Linked DNA regions of Cricetulus griseus. The protein of the gene in region 2 interacts with the protein of the main gene of each other region in a pairwise test. Links are inferred from orthologs where the notes say so. Each region holds a gene or a part of one and is shown on either strand. Other genes may lie near its edges.

Evidence for each region.
Region 1: the proteins of keratin, type I cytoskeletal 40 (region 2) and Dlgap2 interact in a two-hybrid assay, tested with the Homo sapiens proteins (2 studies listed by BioGRID). The link is inferred for Cricetulus griseus from reciprocal best matches to the Homo sapiens genes KRT40 and DLGAP2.
Region 3: the proteins of keratin, type I cytoskeletal 40 (region 2) and Mta1 interact in binary tests that used the Homo sapiens proteins (3 or more experiments, as listed by UniProt). The two-hybrid records come from large-scale screens. The link is inferred for Cricetulus griseus from reciprocal best matches to the Homo sapiens genes KRT40 and MTA1.
Region 4: the proteins of keratin, type I cytoskeletal 40 (region 2) and Shfl interact in binary tests that used the Homo sapiens proteins (3 or more experiments, as listed by UniProt). The two-hybrid records come from large-scale screens. The link is inferred for Cricetulus griseus from reciprocal best matches to the Homo sapiens genes KRT40 and SHFL.

The regions. Positions count from the first base shown.
Region 1 is NW_023276807.1:66,276,307-66,280,323, reverse strand, and holds the start of Dlgap2 (disks large-associated protein 2), read left to right. Parts: upstream 1-1,212; coding exon 1,213-1,253; intron 1,254-4,017.
Region 2 is NC_048600.1:113,049,055-113,053,116, forward strand, and holds the start of keratin, type I cytoskeletal 40, read left to right. Parts: upstream 1-1,260; coding exon 1,261-1,707; intron 1,708-2,975; coding exon 2,976-3,058; intron 3,059-3,358; coding exon 3,359-3,515; intron 3,516-4,062. UniProt on the Homo sapiens protein: May play a role in late hair differentiation.
Region 3 is NC_048598.1:180,939,063-180,943,212, reverse strand, and holds the start of Mta1 (metastasis-associated protein MTA1), read left to right. Parts: upstream 1-1,345; 5' UTR 1,346-1,407; coding exon 1,408-1,500; intron 1,501-4,150. UniProt on the Homo sapiens protein: Transcriptional coregulator which can act as both a transcriptional corepressor and coactivator. Acts as a component of the histone deacetylase NuRD complex which participates in the remodeling of chromatin.
Region 4 is NC_048597.1:133,744,039-133,748,309, reverse strand, and holds the start of Shfl (shiftless antiviral inhibitor of ribosomal frameshifting protein), read right to left. Parts: upstream 2,806-4,271; coding exon 2,785-2,805; intron 2,399-2,784; coding exon 2,275-2,398; intron 2,138-2,274; coding exon 2,088-2,137; intron 681-2,087; coding exon 642-680; intron 517-641; coding exon 367-516; intron 1-366.

The DNA.
Region 1 (4,017 bases), on a different chromosome or scaffold from region 2:
ATTACCTCTAGAAGTTTGAGGAATGAATGATAGAATAAATGCCCAAGGACTCAGGGCCTTTCTCAGAATATTGCAATAATCAACCCTTCCTATGGCTACTCTAAACCCGTGGCCCAAAATACAGAATGATAAGCTGCCCTTGATTTAACTCCAACACTCTAAACTCCCTCTCAGCAGTGCCCCCTAGACTCTCTCACACCATATTAGCCTTCCTTCTTTATAGGCCACTTCCTCCATGGCCTTTACTTCTGGAGTGAGCTACTTCCTGATAAGTCCTTCCTTCAGACATATAAACTGCTTAATTCTCAAGACATGGTCCACCTACCACCTCCTCAGGACATACCCCCCATGCTGTCCAGTGTCCCCACACATGCCCTTTGTGGCAATGTTCCTTGTTGGACTGTGGCCCTTCCTCTGTTATAAGACCTTCAGTGATTGAGAAAATCAAGGCATGTTAAGACCCAATGAGAGGATGGACCAAAGAGACAGTGAGAAAAAAAACAAAAGGACCTGGCCTTTTGGTATCACCTGAGTAGCTGCCTCCAATGGTGACACTGGGGTTCGCAGGAACAGAGTAGCAACGGGAGCTTCCTTCCAAGGTGAGACGTAAGTGGAACTTTGTTTTCTCCTTTCGTCATTCTCTATATGTAGAGACAACCCAGCACATCAGCACTTACTGCAACATCTACAATGGACTTCACAGAGCTCCCTACACTTTTGCAACCCAGCCTTTTCATTTAATCTCACAATGAGTTTTGAATTCCGCATTGTTGCTGTTATTTCACAGATGGGAAACTTGGGGTTTAGTGGGCTAAGGAATTTACTCAGTATGTAAATAAGCTTGTTCATGACATGAATAACTTTGTACCTATCTCTGAAAACTTTGAGTATCTACTGTGGTCCAAGCCATCCTCATACAGCCACCTTACAGTGGCATCCTATGTTTAGGATAGTCTGTTTGACATTCTAACACAGCCCCTCAGCTGGGCTGAATCCTCAAAGTAGGGTCTTTAGACCAGCTCTGCTACCACATGAATTCCTTAGATGGACAACAATCCCTCAATTAGAAACCAGGGTGGTAACTAATGACCAGAAACTACTGTCTTAGTGAGATGGGTGGTAGACATGTCACTGGGAGCATGGACCTCCACCTGTGCTGTGAAACTGAAAAGTCTTCATTTATCAGGACTATGCTGGAATTTGGGTACCACCATGAAGTACTACAAGAAATACACAGAATTTCAGAACGTGAGGTACTGCATGTGTTGTGTGAGGTATTATAAGAACATGCCTGGCCCCAGCACCCATGTGTTAGGGAGAGGTACCATGTTTCATTGCTGGGGAGTTGAAGGGAGGGCATTCTGGGCAAAGGGTCTGGAGACAGCTAGTGACCTCGAGGATGAATGTGGTTTTTCAGTCATGTGAGGTTGAGCGTGTAGCATTGTGGTGGGTGCAGGGCTATTCCAAGCAATCAGGGTACAGAGACAGAGGAGAAGCTATGCAAGGTCAGAGGAGCCTCAGCCAGAGGGAGGACACTTCTTCCTCGTCATGTGAGGGGCAATTCGCCGTGTGTCCCCAAAGATAGCTTGAGAGCAGTGCAGACCATAATGAAATTTACTTGTCTAACTGGGTTATTGGTAGGGTCAATCCAATTCCTCTACACACAAGTGACAAAATTGAGCGTGTGCCAGTGTGTTCATGGGTTGCTTTGAAAATCGTTATGAATTCTAAATGAAGCACCCAGGAATTAAGTGGATTACTCTTGACTGAAGTCATTTGCAAACTGAATTTGGTGACAACTTAACAAAATGTCTCTCGGGTCCCTTCAAAGAGGTGAGTGTAATTTGGTCTGTGCCAGAGTCAGCATCCACCCAGACTGGTACTCCATCCAGGCTGAGAGAAGGCCTCTTCAGAGTTGCAGAAGTTCTGAAAATACTGCCTTTCCATGTAATCAGAGAATTTGTGAGGGTCCCAGGGGGCACAGCCGTGAAAATGAGCTGTCATCAGCTATTCTCATTAGAATATGCAATTGCATATTAGCAAAATGTGTTTGGAATAATAACCAGCAGGCATTTCAACATGCTCCAAAACTGTAAGGCATCAGGCAAGAATTATGTCTTTTTTTAAAAAAATGGGAGAAAACCTCTCATTAGATAGTTCACTTTGATTTCAGTCTCCATAGTAACTGGATATTCAGATACATGCAGATATTTTTGTCTTTGGAAGTTTTGCATGTCTTGGAATTTGGACATGTGCACAGACAAAAAGCCAGATGTGATGTACAGCCCATGAGGTGGCAATTAGAGAAGCCAGTGCCGGGCAATGGAGCTCTCGCTGTTGAACGGCAAATTCAGAACCTTGACACGGGATGAAAACCCTGCAGACTTCATGAGAGTAGTCTTCATACTGAGCAGTTGTGCCTGCATATGTATGTGCCTTGTGTCCATGTGACAAGGACATCTGAGTCCATGGCAAGGTCCCAGTTGGGCCCACCCCTGATTTCAGTGAGCTTTGATTTCTTCCATGAAGTTGTGATTTTTCTTCTTTGACCCTGCTCAAACCTGCTGCCCTTGTGTAAGTTTGCAGAGCTGGAGTTTGCCTTGCCTTCAGAAGTAATTCCTTAATCTGGATGATGTGAGGCTGCACAGAGAAAAGGTCCTCAAAGCCAGGACAGGATGTGGACCAGAAATCCCAATGGTACAATAAACAGCCTTGGAGTGTGTACTGGGTGGTTTTGTGTGTCAGCTTGACACAAGCTAGAGTCATCAGTGGAAGGAGCCTTGGTTGAGGAAATGCCTCAGTGAGATCCGATTATAAAGACATTTTCTCATTTAATCATCAAGTGGGGGAGGACCCAGCCCATGGTGGTTGGTGCCATCCCTGGACTTCTGCTCCTGGGCTCTATAAGAAGGTGGCCTGAGCAAGCTGTGAGAGCAAGCCAGTACTCTGCCATCTCACCTCTGAAGACTATCTTTTAATGAAAGAAGTATGTGGGGTATGTTCCATGAGTTACTTCTCTGAGCCACCATGTTGCCAGCTGAACTATACCCTGGTAAGAATGGCGGTAGCCCTTCCAGGATCACAAATGGAGATGGTCCTTTGTCTCCTCCATCAAGATGCCCTCAGCAGAGCTATTCAGAATCCACCGTGGTGTCTCTCTGCTTCTGGCAAGTAGAGGACCCTGGAGATGGTAGTTTCAAAACAGGAGATGGTGGTTTCAGAAGTGCCTGGTTTAATAGTAGAAACCATTCCTTTAGAAGTTGCCAGCATTGCTAGTCATGATGCTCTATCCCTGTAGTCCCAGCACTTAAGAGGTTAGAACAGGAGAGACATAACTTTGAGGCCAACCTACGCTACATTTTTTTTAATGGAAAAAGGGTGACAAATTATATTTTAAAAAATCTTCACTATTTTTTAGTAAATTGATTATTTTAAGTAGTATAAAAATGCCCCTAGAGGAAGGAAGATGACTCAATGGCTCAGTGGCTCAGTGCTGCCCTTTCGGCACATACCTAATAACCTGAGTTCAATTCCTAGAACCTGTGTGAAGGTGGAAGGAGCAAACTTACTCTACAAAGTTGTCCTCTGGTCTCCACATAGATCCTATGGCATGCAAGTCATACATATGCACACATGCATGCACATACACAAAAAACCAACAATCATCATAATAAAAAGCTTTTAAAGAAAAATGCATATAAAGAAATACAAATTGTTTTCATTAAGAAATGAAAATGGATGGGTGGTAGAGGTGCACACCTTTAATCCCAGCACTCAGAAGGCTGAGGCAAGCAGATCTCTATGAGTTCAAGGCCAGCCTGGTCTACAAAGCGAGTTCCAGGATAGCCAGAGATATTTACAGAGAAACCCTGTCTCGAATAATAAAACCAAAATAAAACAAACAAAAAAGGAAGATGAAAATGGGGAACTAGATAGATGGCTCAGCAGTTAAGAGCACTGGCTGCTCTTCCAGAGGACCTGGGTTCAGTTCCCAACACTTGCATTGCATCTACAAAC
Region 2 (4,062 bases):
GGGAAAGAAGTCTGCACGCAGGTGCAGAGGACCCCTTTAAAAGATAGGCCCCTGCACCTTTCTCTCTCTCTCTCTCTGCCCCTTTACGCTCGCGCGCTCTCTCTCTCTCCCCCTGTTCCTGCTCTCTGTCCCCTCTCTCTGTTTCCCCGCTGTCTCTCTATGGCGACCGGCCATGGCGGTCAGCCATTACCCTGTCCCTCTTAGTCTCCCCATTCCATTCTACCGGGCCTTATAATAAACTTATAGTCTTAAGTCAATATGTCTGTCTCAATATTTCTCTTTTCTTCTTTTTAAACAAAAGAATAACACAATACCTTATGTCTGAGCCTCAACACCAAAATAAATGAATGATAACAGCTTTTTAAAAGTAGCATAAGGAATCTAACATGGAAATACGAGAAGGCAAAGCTTATGTGTATGACCATCCACTCTGAGCATATCCAATCTCAAAAACTAAGCAGGGGTGGTCATGATCACTGTTTGGCTAGCGATAGAATGTTTGAGATAACCAAAGACCACAATTCAGATCTTGACAACCACTTTCTGTCTTGGCTCACAGGACACAACTTATTCTCATTGTTGTATAAAATGATCTCACGTGCTTTACACTCAGTATATACACCTTTCTCTTTACCATGTAAGCACAGGCTTCAAGGACACACACACACACACACACACACACACACACACACCACACGCACGCACGCACGCACGCACGCACACACGCAGGCATGCATGCCCTTCACGATTGCTAACTATCATTGTGGTGGCTGGTAGCACAAACAAATACATGCAATTTAATGAGCTGTGGTGTCCACTTTTAAAGTAGACAAGAGCAATCGATTTTCAAAATCAAAACCTATGGAAATATTACTTTCTGTATCTCTAATGAGCTCTACCTATGATTACCAATGGCTCAGATTTTCTCTTGGGTTCCTTATTCTTTCAACGGGATAATGTTTCCTATGGCTATTCGCTAAAATAAGGATTTTATCCAAGCAACACGTGGAAATGACAGTCGTCCTGATTTAGTAACCTGAACTTATCCTCCTTTTACGAGGCATAAAACTTCCTCGGTAAATAAGCAACACTAATGAGATGTTTGTAGGAAAACTAGCACCCGCGGTGCTAGAGGAAACATCGGTGTGGCCTGTAAACACCCATTTGAAGGGTGATATAAAGGTCTCAGGGGGGGAAGGAGATGTTTGGAGACAAGACCTCGGCACTACAGCATCCGGTCTGTTCATTCCTTCACAGAAGATGGCTTCTGATGGCTCCCCTGGGTGCTGCTCCTCTGAGCCCTGTGCAGAGGCTCCGGACTGTGCGGCTGCCTCACCCTGTCCCACCGATACAACTTGCCTGCCCAGTACCTGTGCCACATCCAGATGTCAGACCCCGAGCTTCCTCTGCAGGGCTCACCTCTCAGCCGGTCGCCTCTCACCCTGCTACTTCGCTGGCGGTTGTAACAGTCCGTGCCTGGTGGGGAGCTGTGCATGGTGCGAGGAAGGGGCGTTCAACAGCAATGAGAAGGAGACGATGCAGTTCCTGAATGACAGACTGGCCAGCTACCTGGAAAGGGTGAGAAGCCTGGAGGAGAACAATGCGGAGCTCGAATGCAGGATCCGAGAGCAATGCGAGCCCGATGCCCCATTGGTGTGCCCAGATTATCAGCGTTACTTCGACACCATTGAAGAACTCCAGCAAAAGGTTGTGTGTCTCATTCCCTAATGTTCTCTGTTTCCTGTTTCAGAATTCTCTTATATTTACAGTGGCGCGGGTTGTTTTATGGATGTAAAACCAGGGAGGAGGGATTCCCAGAGCTGGTATGCTGCCAGGAAAAGAGGGCCATAGATGGCAAGAAATCTGTCTCAGTATCAGCACTATTGACCATAGAAATGTCATGTCTGTGTGTAGACTATGTCATCTACAGAGAGGGGGAATCTGAATTATGATATCTAAAATCTGTTCTGCATGTATCATTACTTATTTATATTCCTTATCAAACAGACATCAAATGCCATCTCTTTTAGTTCACCTGGTAATCATTTTCCTTTCGTGTGCATGTAGAGAGGGAATACATGCTGTCAATGAGGCCTGAGGTCAATGGCAAGCGTCTTCCACTCCCCGCCTTGTGTTTTGAGACAGAGTCTCTCAAGGGACCTGGGGCTCACTGATTTGACTCACTGGGTGGCTGGCCAGAGAGTCCCAGGGATACTGCTGTCTCTGTCTCCCCTTGCAGGGGTAACAGGCACACACTGCTATACTTAGCTTTCTATACATGAGTTCTACGGTTTGAACCTGGGTCCTCCTACTTGTATTGCAAATGCTCTACTGACAAAGCCTTCTTTCTTTTTTCATTGATGAATTTCTATGACCACAGACAGAGATGCAACTCTAATAAATATTAGCAGTGGAGAAAACTAACAAAGCTCAGCTGTCAATGATGACTGCCAAATGTCCTGCCTTGTGTCACTTATAAAGGAAACCTTGAGATGCAGAAATGACTCAGCAGTGGATAGCAGCACTGTAGCGCTCATGAGCAACCTGAGTTCAGTTCCCAATACCCATATATGGCAGTTCACAACCACCTATAAGTTCATCTCCCGAGGACCTGACACTCTCTTCTGGCATCCTAAGGCAAAGAACAAGTCTACACACACACACACACAGAGTCAGAGAGAGAGAGAGAGAGAGAGAGAGAGAGAGAGAGAGAGAGAGAGAGAGATCAAATACATACACACTCTCACACACAATTGGAAAAAAGATAAAATCTTTTTTTAGAAAGAGAACCTATTTTTATGTCTGTATTTTGTTTCTAAATTGGCACTGCATGTCTCCTTTTTTCTCCATGGTATAGTTATAGGCTGAAAATTATGTTATGCTAATTTTGTTAAGCTAATGAATGGCAGACTGTTAAAACAGAAATGTGGGTTTCTTCCAAAGAGCTGTTGATTACATAATGACTTGCCTCTTAGATACTGTGCACGAAGGCAGAGAATTCTAGACTTGCCGTACAGGTGGACAACTGCAAACTGGCTGCTGATGATTTTAGGTCAAAGTAAGTCAAATTGTATTTATTTTTTAAACCACATTGTATTTTATGTATACAAATTGCATTCTAAATCTTAAATTTAATTTGAAAATAATAATGGCCTCCAGTGATAGAGAATTCTCTGCATGAGATCTTTTTTTTTTAATTTAGAATGTTTGAAACTTGAATTCACCATCATTTGGGATACCCGGGGAATTGTGACATGTGTCTCCCTGGAGGCCACATGTCACTCATCCTTGTACCCCGGCACTTTGGTCAGTGTTTAGCCAAGTAACACACTCCCTTTTCTTTCTCTTGCTGTGAAAGGTATGAGAGTGAACTGTCTCTTCGCCAGCTGGTGGAGAATGACATCGGTGGCCTTCGTGGGATCCTGGGTGAACTGACCCTGTGCAAGTCAGATCTGGAGGCCCACGTGGAGTCCCTGAAAAGTGATCTCCTTTGCCTTAAGAAAAGCCACGAAGAGGTAAGTGAAGTGGCCACTGTGCCAAGGACTATAGGGAGAGTTCTACCGAGAGATTTCATGGGTATAAACTGAACCAGGGCAGACACTGACTAAGCTGGAACAAAACCAGAGGCAGGCCCACTGTGTGGTTTGAGCATCCCAGTGTCTCTCAAGGTAGATGTGACATACAGTGTGTATTGTTGCATAACATCACCCGCCCCAAGTGCCAGGGTGAGGCCACTCTCCCTCCTGCCATTGCTTGGGTGAAGAATTAACTCCACTAATGGCTATTTCTGTAGCTCTACTGTACAACAAGAAAATAGAGCTGTATCCACTTCCAAAAAAGGAATAAATAGTCATGCAATATTAGGAGTAATATTTTTTAGATATTGTACATTTATAATCTTGTTTCTATTATAAGCTTAAGAATGAAATGCAGAGTTACATAATAAAGTAAAACAAAAATGTATTCTTTGCATATTTTGATGGTAGTAACAGCTGACAATTACAGATACCTTAGCATTTCTCAAGAATTTTATAAATTTATTGTCTAACTCTTCCCTGTTTC
Region 3 (4,150 bases), on a different chromosome or scaffold from region 2:
TGCACCCCACCCCAGACCAGTGCCCACCATCCCCTGCTCCAGGATATCTGTGTGCCTCTCATCTCTGCTTGTTTGCTTGTTCTCTACTTGGGAGACATTGGATTTTATTTCAGTTTTTGGCAAGTATGAATAATTTGGGGTTTGGGCCTTAATTTGATTTGTGATCATGGAAGTTTAGATTGTAGATATCTTTTTCCTTTTAAAATTTTTTTGTTTTTTGAGATAGGATTTTTCCATATAGCTCTGGCTGTCTGGTACTCACTCTGTAGACCAGGCTGGCCTCAAACTCACAGAGATCCACCTGCCTCTGCCTCCTGAATGCTGGGATCAAAGGTGTGCACCACCACCGCCCAACTCAAAGTACATTTCTGCATTGGCTGGGAATTGAACCTGGGGCCTCCCGTGCGGCAGGCAGAATTCTACCACTGAACCACCAGTGCTTTTGGATGCCTTTAAAAAAAAAAAAAACAAAAAAAAAACTAGTTTTATTAAGAAATGATCCACATTGATGGAATTCATCAGGGTGTTTTCACAGGGGCCCCAGGAGAGTCCCAAATCTAAGCCCAGAGATTGTTCCAGTACTGTTACCGTACACTTTCCTTCCTGTGGGCCTTGCTTTTCCAGGTGACCCTTCACCCTGGTGTGAACCTCTGTGCACTAACTGCTGGAGTTGTAAGGTTGTGGCTGGCCTGCTGCTGGGTGGCACAGGCTCAGGAAGCAACGCAGTGACAGGCCTGCAAGTGCATGCCCACATGGGGACAGAGAACTGCAGTTGCTGCCTCTGCCCATTTCAATAGGAGGAACCTTCCAGTCAGCTCCACTAAGGAGGGGTTCAGTGCCAAGGACTTCTGCCAGCCTGGCAGTAGACAGTCCAGCATACCGTCTGCCCTGGGACTGCTGGAGCATTGTGGTAGTAGGGTGATCTGAGCTGTCCAGGCTGGGTCTGCCAGCTTTGAAAGTCTCCGTGTCTATCTGTGGAGCCTGGCCTGTGGTGGCGAATGGTAGACACACTGTTCTTGCCTGCAGCAGCTACTTGGAGCGTTGTCCAGTAGTTTTGAGCAGGGGCCTCGGGATATTTGGAATTGGGCTTTATGGGGAAGCTGAAGTTAGTCCCCCCCCCCCAGCCTTCCCACTAAGCCTTGTGCTCCTGAAGGCAGCTAACATTGGATGTTTGAGGACTGCAGGCCAATCCCAGGACAGCCCCTCAATCCCATCACCAGCTGTGATCTGGCCCAGCACCCCTCTGGATGGGTTCTGTCCATCCAATAGAAGAGGCTTTGCCTCCTCTATTCCCCAGCCCTCTGACCCCTAGCAGAGTGGGACTAGGGCTTAGAGGGTCTGCTTGAGGCTCACAGCCAGTTCTTAGGGATTCTGAGAATGGTGGGGATGGCTTAGAGCCCTGGTGCTATGCATGATGACCTCTCTGTTGCAGACTATGTCTACTTTGAGAACTCCTCCAGCAACCCGTACCTGATCCGCAGGATTGAAGAGCTCAATAAGGTAAGAGCTCGACACAGTGATGCTGCTGCCTGACCCTGGCAGGGAGGGGTGGAGCCTCCCTGTTGTGGGTGGGCAGGGTCTTCCTACCTGGGTTTTGATGTCCTTCCAGGGGAGGCTGGGAGTGAGTCCCTGTGGCCATGTCTAGGCTTCTTTTTTTTTTTTTTTTTTTTAATTTTATTTTTTTGATGTGTGTGGGTGTTTTGTCTGCGTGTATATCCATGCTTAAGGAGGCTGGAAGAAGGTATTGGATCCCCTGGAACTGGGTAGAGTTATTGTGAGCTGCCATGTGGGTGCTGGGAATCTAAAACAAACCCTGGAAGAACATCCCATGCTCCTAACCACTGAGTCATTTCTCCAGCCCATGCCTAGGCTTGCTTTGTTTATTTGTTTTGTTTTTTTCAAGGTAGGATTTCTCTGTAGCTTTGGAGCCTGTCCTGAAACTCACCCTGTAGACCAGGCTGGCCTCGAACTCACAGAGATCTGCCTGCCTCTGCCTCCCGAGTGCTGGGATAGAGGAGTGTCCCACCACCGCCCAGCCTGCCTAGGCTTCTTGAGGACAAACGTGGGGCTACCTTGAGGCGTCACCAGTTCCGGCACCCCATCTCCCAACAAGTACTGGTCTGTCTAAGGCAGGTTCCCTCATGGACTTGAGCACATCAGGACTCAGAGGGATCTGGATGGTTCTGGAGACTAGTCACAGACCAAGGGCAGTGGCCCTCTGTGCCACTCATCCACACTCTCTCTCTCCTCATTCTCTTCCCATTTCCATTAGCCTAGGTGGCTTCCTGGCTATAGGACTACCATGAACACTGCAAAGTTGTCTACTCTGTCCATTACAGTGTTGAGGGTGTGTGCAGTATTTATACCCTGGGGTCCTATTGGTGTCTTACCCCAGTCGCTGCTTCTGCCATAGTTTGTGTCTGCTGGGAATCCTTGGCAGACACTGAATCCTTGGTCTGGGGGCATGGTTGTTCCATTGCTAGAACCCTGGGATAGTCACACACCACCTAGGGTGGTGGCTAGGAGTGTGGAGAAATGGATGCATGGATTCCAAAAACTCGGCTCCATTCTACTCTGCTTGGAGTGACCTTTTGGCTCTTTGGAGAGTGAGGTGGTCTCAGGTCAGCACAGTCACATAGCAAGCATACCAGGAACCTTCTTGTCCCTTCTGGGTCTCAAGGATCTCATGGCCATATCCCTACTGTGAGCCTCAAATGTGGCCTGCCCACTCTTGGCTCTAAAGTCCCACGTGATTAGAGGCTGGGGTAGGCAGGCCTATCCCTGCTCTGCTTCCTCTAGTGCCAGGCAGAGAGCAGGACCGACCAAATTCCCAGACCTGTGTCTTTGTAGACACTCTTTCCTGCCAGGCTGGGTGGTGACAGGGCCTCCATAGCCTTCTTGAGTACCATAGACCAGTGAGAAGGGCTGCTCTCCTAGACTCAGGCTTGTTGGAATGGTGGCTTGGGATTCTTGGGATCAAATGGGACAGAGAGGGCAAGGTTGGATGCTACCCCGCAGGTGGCCATGTTGAGACCGGACCAGCCCTGCAGGTGGCTCTAGATGGAGGCTTAGGTGTAGCCCCAGCTTCTAGGTCTGGCCTTACCAGCTCCTTGGAACCCATGTTGCCAGGCTGTGCCAAGGCGGTGTGCTGCTACAGCAGCGTCTTCTACAGCCGGGGATAAGCTCTGTATGAGCGTGCGTGTGTGTGCACACACGTGTGTGCTTGTGCACACATCTGGGGATGTTTTGGGAAGATGAATTGGTCCGAGCATACAGGTAGCTTCTAGAGACCTGAGGCCTGTCATGGCCTAGGTGGGCACTAGTGTTTCCTCTGATGTACTCACTGGGACCAGATCCTAGACAGGTGCCCCATGGTTGGCTCTGGCCACAGTTGTCAATAGGCAAGATAGTAGGTTGGGTAGCTGGAACTCTACCAGCTACTATAGGTGTGGACCAACAGGCTCTCATTTACACATTTCAGTTACACAGACTTGGACATGAACAAACAGGTTTGTAGAGGAGTATCCCAGCTGCAGTGAGCAGCCACCAGAGGGTGTCCACTGGCCCAGCACATGGGAGCTGTGTCAGCCCCATCATTTTGAGTGACATTGTAGCCTAGGTGTCTCAAAGCCAAGTGCCAAGGACAAGTCAAGTAGTAGGGAGTTGTGAGCTGGGCTGGCAGTCTCAGATTCCCAGGTGTAGACCAGCCTCTCTGTCTCTCAGTGTCAGACCTCTGTTACTGGGATGGGGCTCCTATCCAGGCTTCCGTTTTGGCCATTGCCATGGACCCCTGTAGTATGGATGTCTACGGTAGACAGTACCTCTGATCTCCACAGTCTGTGAGAGGTCCTCTAGGTTTCGCCCTTCAGTACTTGAGATTAACAAGGCACCATGAACTCACTTGATGTCCCTGGCTTCCATCCACAGCTAGCAAGTTCAACACACATGAAATTGCCTCAGGTCCCTGCTACAGAGCAAAGACAAGTGCCTTCAGTGATGAGAAACTCCTGAGGCTAAGCAAGATTAATGCCTAATACGTGGAAATGGGGCTAGGAGGAAAAGGGGACAGCTAGTGCAGGGGACAGAATCCAGGGCTCAGGAAGGGAGAGACAGTACCAAGCCTGAGCAGGTCTATGGACAGGGGACAGTG
Region 4 (4,271 bases), on a different chromosome or scaffold from region 2:
AACCACATGGTGCCCTCTTCTGGTGTGCAGATATACATGGAAGCAGAATGTTGTATACATAATAAATAAATCTCTCTCTCTAAAAAAAAAAAGATGGAGGGCAACTGAGAAAGAAAGATACCACCACCAAACTCTGGCCTCCACATGCACACTCATGCTTGCATGCATACAGGCAGGCACAAGCTGGCGCGTGAACACACACACACACACACACACACATACACACACACACACACACACACACACAAATGAATGCATGAATGAACACACACATGCAGCTGATGACCTTCAGTCATAAAAATAATTTCTGGACACAGACAACAGGAGTGGAGTACAGGAGGGAATCCAGTAAGTCTGGGGTACCACCTCCTTCCTCTGGGGCACACGGCGCCACCACACGTGGTCACAGGAGGAGCAGGCAAACTGTCGGTCCACGGCAGGGATGAGGTCGTCTTGGGCTCTTTGGAACATTCGAAGATTGGCTTTTGTCAGGGGCAACAGAGAGGTGGCCACTGCCTGAAACATGGATGAATGGGGACAAAACAGGGTCACCTCTGCCTGTGGAGCCCACAGCGACCATCCTTACTGCTATATACCTTGGACAGTTATCCATCCTGCCTCATCCCAGCCAAAAAACACACCTGGATATCTCGGTCTTGCTTCATGTCCTCGGGTGGGTCCTGAGGGGAGACACGGAAAAGGAGTACAGAGACTGGAAAGGCTCTATCTAGGAGTCCTATACCCATGTTGAATGGGGGAGAAGCCCCTGCATGGGGCTCCTGGACTTCAGACAGAGATGAAACATTATTGCCTGTGTTGACAGATAGAGCCAGTGCCTACAATGAATGAAGTCCCAAAGATCCTTAAGAAGCAAATACTTGGCTAGTCTCATTTCCCAGAATCTGAACCCACTCAGTGATCGTGGCCCATGGAACCCAGAGCCCTGGATGACCTTTCAATCTGCAGAGGCCACACATGTGACACCTGGCCACTGAAGCCACATAGCTTTTAAAGATTAAAAAGTTTAAAAATGTGTATGTCTGTGTACATGTACATATGTGTAGTGCCCATAGAGGCCAGAAGAGGGTGTCAGATACCCCTGGAACTGGAGTGGTTGTGAACTGTCCCATGTAGGTGCTGAGAATGGAATTAGGGTCCCCTGTGAGAGCAGCAAGTGCTCTCAACAGCTGAGGTATCTCTCAGCTCCTTGGCCACATGGCTTTAAAAGGCTCCAGTTTGGGGGCTTGCAACCGGTTGGCTGCTCTATTGCTCCCAGATGGGGATGGTGGGCAAGTCCCTCTCTTTGAGGGTTCTCACAGAAGGGCCTCTCAGAGCCCGAGCTTCATTGCAAATGGCTAGAATTTGAATCCCTGAAGTCAAATGCTGGTCCCCAGAACTTGGTGAAATGTCATGAGCCTGAGCTTTCTTGTGTAATAGGATTGCCTCCCGGAAGCAGAAGAAAGGGATATGAAATGAACCAAGGCCTGGAGGTTTGCCCCTCAGGCTCTCTCCATGAAGGCAACTTCCTTCTATTATTAATTTGTCATATTCCTTATAGACCTAAACCAAAGGAATATGATTTGTCAGATTCTTTTAGGTGCCCAGCATGGTGGTGCACGCCTTTGATTCCCAGTGCTTGGGAGGCAGAGGCAGGTGGATCTCTGTGAGTTCAAAGCCAGCTTGGCCTGTAAAGTGAGTTTCAGGACAGTCCAGGGCTACATAGTGAGACCCTGTCTCAAAAAAACAAAACAAAACAAAACTTTGGCAAGCCTTTCAAGCAAGTTCAGCACACAGGGTACAGCCACAGAAGTGATTCTATGAATTTATCCCTTCTCCTCCATTGGGACCTCTTTCCCCCCCAGGCCAGCCCAGCCTTTCTTCTAGTGAAAGGTAGAATTAGTTTCCTTGAGCCTTCCTCAACAGCCAGGACCTCCTTATCCGACTGTCCTGTCTCCTCCTCCATCTGAGGCAATCAGCACATAATGAGCGCCTACTGTTTGCAGGCTGCTTCGGACAAGGAAGGAACTTAGATAGCAAGATGGGCTCTCACAGTATCTCTCTTTGAGGAGAGAGGGAGTTCAGGTTACCTGAGCGTCCAAATCGTTGCTCAGCTCCTGTCCATCTTTCTGCTTGACACCTAGTGGGGAAATATGGGAAGGGCTCTTGAAGGGTGAGTAGGAGTTCCAGGTGGTGGAGAGCCTCCTGTCAAGGGGAGCCAGGGTCGCTACAGCGAGCGACAACCACACCCACGCAGTACCCCCTGGGCGGACTCACCATACACGATAGAGCGCCCTACTCCGGTGTGGTCGCTGCCAAACTTCCTCATAAGAGCCCCTGCCTTCTTGGGGGACACTTTTCCATGAAACTTCTCCCGGAGGCGCCTGACGCTCTTCTCCAACTGGGATGGAGGGGAGGTGAGCGCTGGTGTGGGGGACGACTGGGGAGCGGCGCCCGCCCCTCATTCTCCTGAACTTGACCCCGGCTTCTGGCCTCCGCACCCTCTCCCCTCCCCCTCCCTTTAAGCCATTTCCTGGAAAAATCCAAAGTTCTCCAGGCATTGGGGGATGGTGCAGACTGCGGCGGGTGCCAGCCTGCCGGGTGCGAATTTGCGGTCTGGCGTGCGTGCGTGTGAGCCGGGATGCAGGCCAGGTCACCCCCTTTCCTTCTAACCTCTGACCCTGCAGCCCCGCTACGGCCGGGACGGAGGGGGAGGCGGCCCAGGGGGTCGGGGTGTCCCCGGAGCCCTCCCCGCGCGGCCTGTCTCGGGTGGCGCGACTGTCCTACCTCCACGCCGTCCTGAGCCATGGTGGCCGGTGCGCACCTGGCCGCGCCCGGGTCCGGGCCCCGCAGGGCTGGGTGGCGTCGGCGCGGCTCCGCCTCCCTCGGTCCCCTCTTTCGGTTTCGTTTCTGCGCGAAGCTGGGGACCCCGCGGGGACCCCGCCCCGGCCGTGCGGCTGCGTGTCTGCTCGCGCGCCCCGCGGTGCTCCCGGGGCGGTGCTCCCGGCCTCAGCGCGCGCCTCCCCGCGTCCTGCGCAGCAGCGCGGCCGGGCCGGGGATGCAGCGCGCGGCCTCTGCAGTCGGTCACATGTCCCCACGCTGCGCGGGGTCCGCGTCTTCACGTCCCCCGTGGGGGCGGGGCCGCACCGCGCGCGGACGCGGGTCTCGGTGCTCCCACGCTGCTCCTCCTAGACCGCGGGCGAGCTTTGCTCTACTCAGAGGCTCCTACCCGCAGCATCTTTTCCCCCTAGCTCCCTCCAGCCAGTCTCAGTTTCCTCCTCTGTAAAATGGGCACGCAAGCCAGGCTTGGCGACACACACTGGTCACCTCAGCATTTGGAAAGTGGGGGCAGGAGAAGCAAGAGTTCAAGGCTGTCCTGGGCTACATGGACCCTGTTTCAAAAAGAAAGGAAAAAAAAAAAAAAGAAAAGAGGAAAATATCCCAGGACAAAATGAGAGAACTTTTTTTGGGGCAACTTTCATGAACTTCTTGAGCGGTGAATGGGCCCTAGATTTAAGAGGCCTGCCTGCCTGGGTTTTCCTTGCTGCGACCCTCTTTCTTGCCCTTTTTGGTACAGGGGTTGGGTTTCTCACTTTGACCCAGGAGCACTCAAAGCTTGGTTTCCTTCACTAATCAGGGTGGATAGCACAAGTGCAGATAATGGTGGTATAATGGTGAACCGGAAACCAACACCAGAGGGAAGTGGAAACTATCTTCCCACCCCCCCTCCTCTTTCCAGGGCCCTGTAGTTTCAAGGCGGCTCCCTTAATCCAGGCTCCCCTGGACTTTGTATGTCACTGTCTCCCCCTGCCTCTACATTCTGAATTCTGGGGTCACAGATGTGTACCTAGGGTCTCACAGCATAGCCCAGGCTGGCCTTGAATGTGGTTTGGTGGCCCTTCAGCCTCAGTCTCCCCAGTACTGAGATTACAGATGTGAGCCTCCATGTTTGGTCTTCCAGGGGGACTTAATGGCACTCAGCACAATGTGGGACATAGATAATGCACCAATCATCGGGTGACCTTTGGAGTTTCATGCAGGTTGGAGGCAGAGTAAGGATGTGAAGAAAACACACTCTTGGTCCCTAACACCTTGTACTTCTGGCTCATGGGAATACACATTGCAAATTTAAAGGCTAATAACCATGTGGGCAGTGTGTGTGAGACCCTGGTTTCCCCCCGGGCCTGGAAGGAACACCTCCACATGGATCGGCATCAATAAATTATATTGAAATATTACAGCTATTATGGGGAAATGGGCTAGAATTTCCTCAG